2 linked regions of the Tribolium castaneum genome follow. The protein of the gene in region 1 purifies or fractionates together with the protein of each later gene. This does not show direct contact. Links are inferred from orthologs where the notes say so. Each region holds a gene or a part of one and is shown in the gene's direction. Other genes may lie near its edges.

Evidence for each region. Proteins that work in one complex are often made in the same cells at the same time.
Region 2: the proteins of Rlip (region 1) and coiled-coil domain-containing protein 6 purify together in Homo sapiens (affinity purification with mass spectrometry; 3 studies listed by BioGRID and IntAct, counting the BioPlex papers as one, with this or other methods). This does not show direct contact. The link is inferred for Tribolium castaneum from reciprocal best matches to the Homo sapiens genes RALBP1 and CCDC6.

Annotation. Positions count from the first base shown.
Region 1 is NC_087403.1:3,536,161-3,540,157, reverse strand, and holds Rlip (ralA-binding protein 1), read left to right. Parts: upstream 1-1,358; 5' UTR 1,359-1,500; coding exon 1,501-1,588; intron 1,589-1,639; coding exon 1,640-1,769; intron 1,770-1,814; coding exon 1,815-2,023; intron 2,024-2,075; coding exon 2,076-2,337; intron 2,338-2,383; coding exon 2,384-2,561; intron 2,562-2,608; coding exon 2,609-3,322; 3' UTR 3,323-3,368; downstream 3,369-3,997. UniProt on the Homo sapiens protein: Multifunctional protein that functions as a downstream effector of RALA and RALB. As a GTPase-activating protein/GAP can inactivate CDC42 and RAC1 by stimulating their GTPase activity.
Region 2 is NC_087398.1:5,840,404-5,844,798, forward strand, and holds the start of coiled-coil domain-containing protein 6, read left to right. Parts: upstream 1-1,477; 5' UTR 1,478-1,771; coding exon 1,772-1,999; intron 2,000-2,048; coding exon 2,049-2,342; intron 2,343-2,467; coding exon 2,468-2,966; intron 2,967-3,239; coding exon 3,240-3,472; 3' UTR 3,473-4,395. Other genes in the region: subdued (anoctamin-4), read right to left, coding at 395-726.

The DNA of each region.
Region 1 (3,997 bases):
ATGTCAGTGGAGACCGTATCGGTTCTATTATTATATAACGTGAATGATTTAGTCATAAAGTTTTGTGTGAGTTTGATGGTTACATTAATCAGTTGTATTGTAATGACTGCGCTATACTTTGTACATACATATGGGCTCACTCCACAATACTTTCATATATAAAATCTAAAAAATAGGCTGTTTCGTTTTCGCTTTAGTGTGTACCAATATATTAAGCATTATGTAGCTGGGCTACACGTATAACTGCTTAGCTGAGATTTCTTAAGGTTGGTTCATTAGAAAACAATACAATCAATGTACGTTTAGTTGAGCTAAGAATGTTTGCACTTTTCATTGAAAATGGCAATCATACGATGGTAAATTTTACTTATTTACTTAAGGTATGCATTTCCCCAAAAAAATTTAGTTGTAATGTTGTTTCAAGACTATAGATAAACGCCACTCGCCAACTCGTTGTTCTAATACCATTTAATGACACAACCACCGTTTCTTTTGTTATTATATTATTGTTTTTTTTTTGCGCGTAGCCTCGATCTAAAGTAGGGACTACTCTTTACGTTGTTACATTGCCGGATTTTCTTTCACTCCTCCCGTAGTAGGGACTACTTTTTACTTTGTTACGTTGCCGGATTTTCTTTCACTCCGCCCGTAGTAGGGACTACTTTTTACTTTGTTACGTTGCCGGATTTTCATTCACTTCTCCCGTAGTAGGGACTACTTTTTACTTTGTTACGTTGCCGGATTTTCTTTCACTCCTCTCGTTTGATCTAGCTTGAGGATATTTATAAGTTGTGTTAGGACCCCTTGACAACTGGTTTAGGGGCAAGACTAGACAAAGGTGTTGTTACTTGAAACTCTGTTTTTATTAATACGACTAAATCCCATTTGTTTTATATTGTTAACAGTTTTAGGTGTCAACTACTCTTGATATATTTTTATAATGACCTTCCCTTTGGTATGTTTATGAAAATGTAAATCATAGGACAGGCAAGGAGTTCTTTTGTATGTGTTTTCGTAATATTGTATTTAGAGTACTAATTCATCATTTTAAGATAGTTGAAAATCTGCTTTTCCGTCTCGCCTGCAACCAACCACGTGCAATCGACAATTGATTGCAGGCGAGACGAAAAAACACATAAATCTTGTGATAATTAAACGTTTTTTTTGCTCAACTCCTTGCAATTTATTACATAGTTAAGTTAGTTTGTAAAGTGTGTTGTGGAAGTGTGGTCAAAGATTTGTCTTCCTGTAACACGTAAAAAAAATTAAAAAAAATTACAAAACTAGCTCGTCTTTTATTTCGAATCTCCCGGTTAAGGCGGCCCTCAACACCAGTTCCTTCAAGAGATGGCAGGGCAAGCACCTGTCATATTACACCACTCAGATGACTTGATTTGTGTTGTTTCTGTTTTATCCCAGCTTAACATGCTTAGCAACAAATTCCCTTGGGAAAATAGTGTCATAATTATTTATTAAAAGTTCAAACCCAACCGTGTCAATATGGATTTTGATAGCCCCGACGTAATGAAGGATTTCCCAGGCTTGTACGCATCCGAATTAAATAAGCAGTGCAATAACGACAGCGACTGTAATAATAAATTAAGTGAACCACTAATTCCCGATTAAAACTCGTTTCTAGATAGTGACGAAAATGAGAAAGTCTTGAAAAAGGACATTCTCATCGGAAAACGCAAAGAGAAGAAGGATAAAGACAAAGGTTATGCCGCTTTAGAAGGCGAAAGTTCAGCTGATGAAAATTTCAAGTCGAGGTAATCACACCTGCAATCACTCAAACCCTCACTGGGATGTTTCAGAAGCCCGTCGAAAACAAAAAAAGCCAAACCGTTCAAATTCTCCACCAAAGCCAAAGAAAAACGGGACAAATCCCGCGAAAAAGAGAAAGATCTCGACAAGAAGAAAGACCGGGATAAGAAGAATGACAAGAAGCAGGACAAGGAGAAAGTCAAGAGTGAGAAAACGAAGAAACTCAAACAGTCAATTGACGAGACCGCTGACATCGGCGGTGAGAACTCTTACATAATGACAATAAAATTGGAATGAATTGTTCGTTCCAGATATTTTACCGATTTTCGGGGCTAGTTTAGACGTGGCTGTTGAGAGGAGCCGGTGCCATGACGGTGTAGACATTCCTTTACCCATTCGGGAATGTATAGACTATGTAGAAACCGTAGGTATGTCGTTCGAAGGCATATACAAAATCAGCGGAACAAAATCAAAAGTTCTCCAAATACGTAAAATGTACAATCAGAGGGGCAATATCAATTTAAATGACTACGACCCTCCAACCGTCACAAGTTTAGTAAAAACCTATTTAAGGTAACCTTTTCTTAGGTGTAACATGATGGGCAAAAACTCTTTGCAGAGATTTACCAGAACCACTTTTTACAAACGACCTTTTAATACGTTTCGAGGAAGCCGGAGCCATCCTTAATCTCAACACTCGCGAAAAACACTTAAAAATTTTAGTGGACCTTTTACCTCCCCACAACAAAACGCTCCTCGGCTGGCTCATCACCCATTTACACAACGTTTCTCTGAATGTGAGTGCCTTAACACCCCAGCCCCCATAGTATAGCGCGTTTCGCAGGAAAAATGCAACAAAATGAACAAACAAGCCATTTCCACAGCCCTCAACCACACCTTCCACTGCTCCTCGCGCCTCCTCCACGCCCTGCTCCACCACTGCCTCGCGCTCTTCCCCACAATCACAATCGCGCGCTACGTGCCCCCTCTCGAGTCCGGGGCCAAGCTCCCCGAGGAGCCCCCCGAGATCGAGACGGAGCTCAAGAAGCAGGAGTCGCTCCTCACCCAGATCCACAAGGAGATGAACGTCTGCTGCATCTCGAAGCAGCGCGAGGAGCTCCTCTGGGAGGTGCAGAGGATCATCACGCAGCTGAAGCGCAAGCTGAAAACGGCGAACCGCGACAAGGAAGCGGTCGAGAAGGTGGAAGCCCCCGAGCCCGAGGCGCAGCCCGAGGAGGCGGCCAGCGAGGAGGAGTCGGAGCTGGACGGCAGCGTCGCGCTGCTGAAGTTCAAGAACGAGGGGCTGCTGCTGCTCAGAGACTCGCTCCTGAAGGACATCCAGGCGGAGCGCGGCCAGATCGCCGTGCTGCGCTCGCAGATCACGGGGGAGGTGCCGCCCGTGGCGATGGTGCCCAACGAGGACCTGGACGAAGTCATGGACCTGTTCCTCAAGGAGAACCAAATTTTGCAAATCAAGAAGATCAACTTGGTCCGCCAGATCATCGAGGAGCAGGAGATGTGCATCGAGCTGAGAGCGCAGATTTTAGCCAAGTCGTAATGTGTCCAGTATTATTGTAACTGTATATAATAAATGTTCAAATTGACGCTGGGTTTAAATTTAGGTAGACTTGACATTGGAGTGGGCCTAAGGTTACGGTATGCAACTAGCAATGCGCCTGAACTAAGCCAACAGGCGGCGCTAGCACTACTTAAGTCGAGTATTTTTACATGTTTTTGTGCGTGTTGTTTTTATTTTTAGTGGGGAGTGAGTTCGTACTGTTTCATGTCCGATATTATTTTAGAATAGGAAGTGGTTGAAGGTGTTTAATTTTTTAATTGTTATTTGTTGGATTTTTACGACCGTCCCTTGTGATGTTTGCTGGCGTTTGGCAAAGTCAATAAATAAGATAAGGAGTTTCGTTAGTGTTTAGTGTGTATACATTGCTCATTTTATTATATTGTTATAAGTCACATTTTGAATCGAAGCCTCAAGGGACCATCTCGTGGTAAGTCTTCTGTGACCCAAAACCCCATTTATGACTCCCACGTCAATAACAATCATAATCAAGTTTGCTCAACTTTTGATTAAATTGTCGACTTTGTTTACACAGATGATTCCGTTTAACCCAGAAACTTCACCAACCCGGAATTTTAGCCCATTCGTCTTCGGCACCCTTTCTTTATCTTATTTATTGTACGAAATGTTTTTAAAAAGATTAGATTATAATAGTAT
Region 2 (4,395 bases), on another chromosome or scaffold:
GAAATTTTTAAGGTAATTTTTATTGTACTGTAATAGTTATAACACAAATAAAAATTCATTAAAAGAAGAATGAGTGCAGTACTTTTTGCTGGCATCTAATTGCATTTCCTTTTTATATTATTTAAACCGGTGATAATAGCGTTATTATTACTAATTCTGATAACAAAGGTCGCAGTTCTTGCTCTAAAATAAGTACTCGGAACAAATCAGTGTTTGCGTATACACAATAATAAAATAAAAAATGTAGTAGAGTTAAATGTTGGGCTTGAGTTATTGTTTGCGTAAGATGATCAGAGAAACAGTGTTAGTACCTGCCAACACTTGCACGTAAAAATAGATAAAATAAACAAATACAACCGCAGGTGTTAAACGAACAGACAAAGACGATTCTTACCTTCCCGTATCCATTTCCGAATCTAAATCATCAGCACTTTTATACAAATTAACAACAGACATAGCATCCATATCTAACTTATCACATGAATTGGGTTTTCTTTGCTTCACTTCAACTTCCCCATTACAGTAACTCAAAATGTGGGGCTGACTCATAAATCTATCATTTTCCAAACTGTCCCCATGCCTTACAATGGTCAGTCTCTTCTTATGGATTTTTCTTCTGGTAGGTGACAGTTCTGACGTTTCTTGTCCTGACAGTAACAAAGGGGCTGACATGGACGTTGTAATTGAGTTTTTTCGAACATTGTCTTTGGTTGTCTCTAGTGGCATCACAATTTTAATAATCTATAAAAATAGTAAAGCTTAATTTAAACACGAAACGACTAGTGGTTCATTTTTCTTGGACTAGTGAGTCACGAGCTTGAAAACGTCACATAACAGTACTTGGGTAAAAATTTACAAGTATGATAACATAGACCATAATTACATGCAGTGATAACTGACTGCTGTTATTATGTTTGTGTAATTTTTATTTAACAAAAAAGTGTTTGCTATTTTTAAACATGTCAACTGCATTCTTGTAATTTGAAACCTGATCACTTGAGTTAAAAAAAAACACATACTCACCTCACAGATTCACTGTTAAATGCGAAATAATACACATTTTACAGCGATATTACAGTGATAATATCAAGTACAAATTCCCCTTTTTAAAATAATTAGTTCTTTTGTACTACTGGTAGTTTGAATAACTTATACAGTAGATAAAAAAAAGAATCATTATTTAATATTTTTGCTAAAGAAGATAAAAGTTGGGTAATAAATATTGTGGCTCAGTTTTAGGTTCCAATTTTCTGTTTAAGTATTTTAATTTTTTATATGGATCATGCCACCTCTTAGTTCGATTCTGCAAAAAAGTTACTAAGGAAAATAAAAGTCCTAAATTGAAAATTTTTGTGCAATTTTTTACTTTACTATACTTTCCGAAACGTGTAATATTGCCTTGTTGTTCAATTTGTTTGCGATAAGGTAAAGTTCATCCGATTTGAAGGCGTATTACCTTCGATAATTCGTTCTCCAGCCGGTTTTTTGGTAACATTTTCCGCATTGGCAGCAATGTGCATGGCGGCTGTCAAGAAACGAAACCAAAAATTGTCATCTGTCCTCATGTTTATTGCTAATTGTTTAATTTTATAGTTACAGTGAAGCAATAAAGGTGTGAATTTATGTATTTTTAACTAAAAATAACAGTTCCCTCCTCTAACTCTATGCCAAACAAACCCACCTGAAAAAACCCCAGAAGAAATTCTTCAACACTTGAAAAAAATCCATGACGATCTCGCCCATTCCTACCCTAATTTGATCGTGTTGAATTATGTTTAAAGACATGGCTGATTCAGCGAGTGAGTCTGATTCGAGCAGCATTGACGGGGGCCCCATCATGATGCCCCCCAGCCCCATAACCAGGGAGCAGCTCCAAAAGCGGATAGAAAGCTTGCAGCAGCAAAATCGGGTGCTTAAAGTCGAACTCGAGACCTACAAGCTGCGGGTCAAGGCGCTCCAGGAGGAAAATCGCGGCCTGAGACAGGCCTCTGTCATTATCGTGAGTCCAAAACCTTCAAGCCTTGCCGTTTACTAACCCAAAATTGCAGCAAGCCAAGGCTGAGCAAGAGGAGGAGTTTATTTCAAACACTCTTCTTAAGAAGATTCAAGCGTTGAAGAAGGAAAAGGAGTCTTTAGCCCACCACTATGAAAGGGAGGAGGAGTGTCTTACCAACGATCTCTCGCGGAAACTCACGCAGCTGCGACAGGAGAAGTGCCGACTTGAACAAACTCTAGAGCAGGAACAAGAGTGCCTTGTTAACCGTCTAATGAGAAAAATTGAGAAACTAGAAGCTGAGACGCTGGCCAAGCAGAGCAACTTGGAGCAGCTGAGACGCGAAAAAGTAAGATACATGGGGAAAAAATTACACATTAAATTTAAAAAATTAAATTTGTACTTTAAATAATTTATTTATTTCTTCAAGAGTTAGTTTCATTTGTGTAATATCTATAATACTTTAATAATTAGGTCGAGCTTGAGAACACTCTTGAGCAGGAGCAAGAAGCTCTCGTTAACAAGCTCTGGAAGCGCATGGACAAGCTCGAGGCCGAGAAGCGAATGCTTCAGATCAAATTGGACCAACCGGTCTCAGATCCGGCGAGTCCTCGTGACATCAACAACGGCGATACTGCCACCAATCTCAGTGCCCACATCCAGACTCTCCGTTCGGAAGTGGCCCGTTTGAGGCAAACATTAGCAATCAGCCAACAAGAGCACACCCAGAAGATGCAAAGATACGCGCAAGAGGAACGCAACATCAAGGAGGAGAACTTGAGGTTGCAGAGGAAGCTGCAGTTGGAGGTGGAGAGGCGCGAAGCTCTCTGTCGCCACCTCTCGGAGAGCGAAAGCTCGCTGGAGATGGAGGAGGAGAGGCATTACAACGAGCAAGTGCTTGGGGCCAGGCAGCACACGGTGTCGCCGGTTCCGTACAATCCGTCGCCTAGCCAGAGTCGCCCCCTGAGTCCAGGTGGGAAAAACATTTTTTAAGCTCCTAATTGTAAGATAAAACCAGATATTGTCGGGTTCCTATAAAAAACATACCGAAAAAATATATATTTAAACTCTGCCTTCTATTAAACTATGTTAGTTATTTCAAAAAATACAAAGTCTTATTTTGTGTATTTGCGTATCTTCGCTGTAACAATTATGTTTTTTTATTTTTAACACCAATTAATCGATAATCCGTGAACCCCTTGTAACAATTAGTTCGGATGTAGGTGTTATACTGTGATGTTTTTAGGTTTGTCGTCGATGCAAGCCCCATCCCCGCGCGACTCGCTAATCGTGGGCCCCCCACGCTGTCCGACTTGCGGTCAATTACTAACGGCGGCTTGCGTGCCTGCTTTGCACAACGTGGGTTCCAGCAGCCCCCCGGCCCCGGCCCACCGAAGGACCAGCGAAAGATTCATCAAGCCGGCGATTCCAGCACCACAGCCCGCTAGTCCCATGGATACTTCAATCACTAAAGAATAAGATAAAAAAGGTGTCGAGTTGACAAATAAGTAATCATGTTGATGGGCTTTCGTTTTGCAGGTGGTGAACATTTGTTGGTTTTCTCTGCATGTTATTTGTATAGGGGCTTTAAAGTTCGAAACAAATAAATTTAATAAAACTACATGGTGTTACTGTGAAACTAATGGATACATAATTTTTTCTTATTTAGATATATTATACTTGGATTTTTCGATTTTCGGGCAGCTGTTTTTGATTAATTTCGGGATCTGCTTTGCTTTTAATATGTGTACTTAATGATGTTATATGATAAAGGGAGCTTCATTGTGGTCAGCTCTACTAAAATATTTCCATATTTGAATGTTTACAAGTGATCTTTCAATCTAGCAACGGCAGTTGTCACAGGTCCGATGCCATGTTGAACCATTGCCAACAATTTTCACAATGTTTGTGATATGTGAGTTTTTGTTAATTAAAATTGTGACACGATTTCTTAACAATTTCGTTTAGTTTGTACACTGCACTCTGCCAAACTTGTTTTCTTAGTATTCATTATTTTGTCATGCAATAATAAATCTAGCTTACGTTTTAAGTAATGGATATCACGTTTTTTATTTGTAACACCATTTCAATTAAGTAAGTTTAATTGAAATGTTGAAGGTTATTTATCCGATTTGTTACATTCATAACACTAGAAATTACGAATTAAAGACTATTTAGTTTAGAGTTAGGTGTTTTTTAGATTAACATCTCAAAAATTGACACTACAGGTGGCAATTCAAAAAAATTGTGAAAAGTGATATTAGGATATAAACTCATTAGTTTCATTGGTGGAATTACATTATCATCTTGATTTGCCAAATTTCTAAATTTAAACAAAATTCTTCCCTTACTAAATTAAAAGCCAATGAAAACTTTCGGTGACTATTTCAGGGTCATATGTT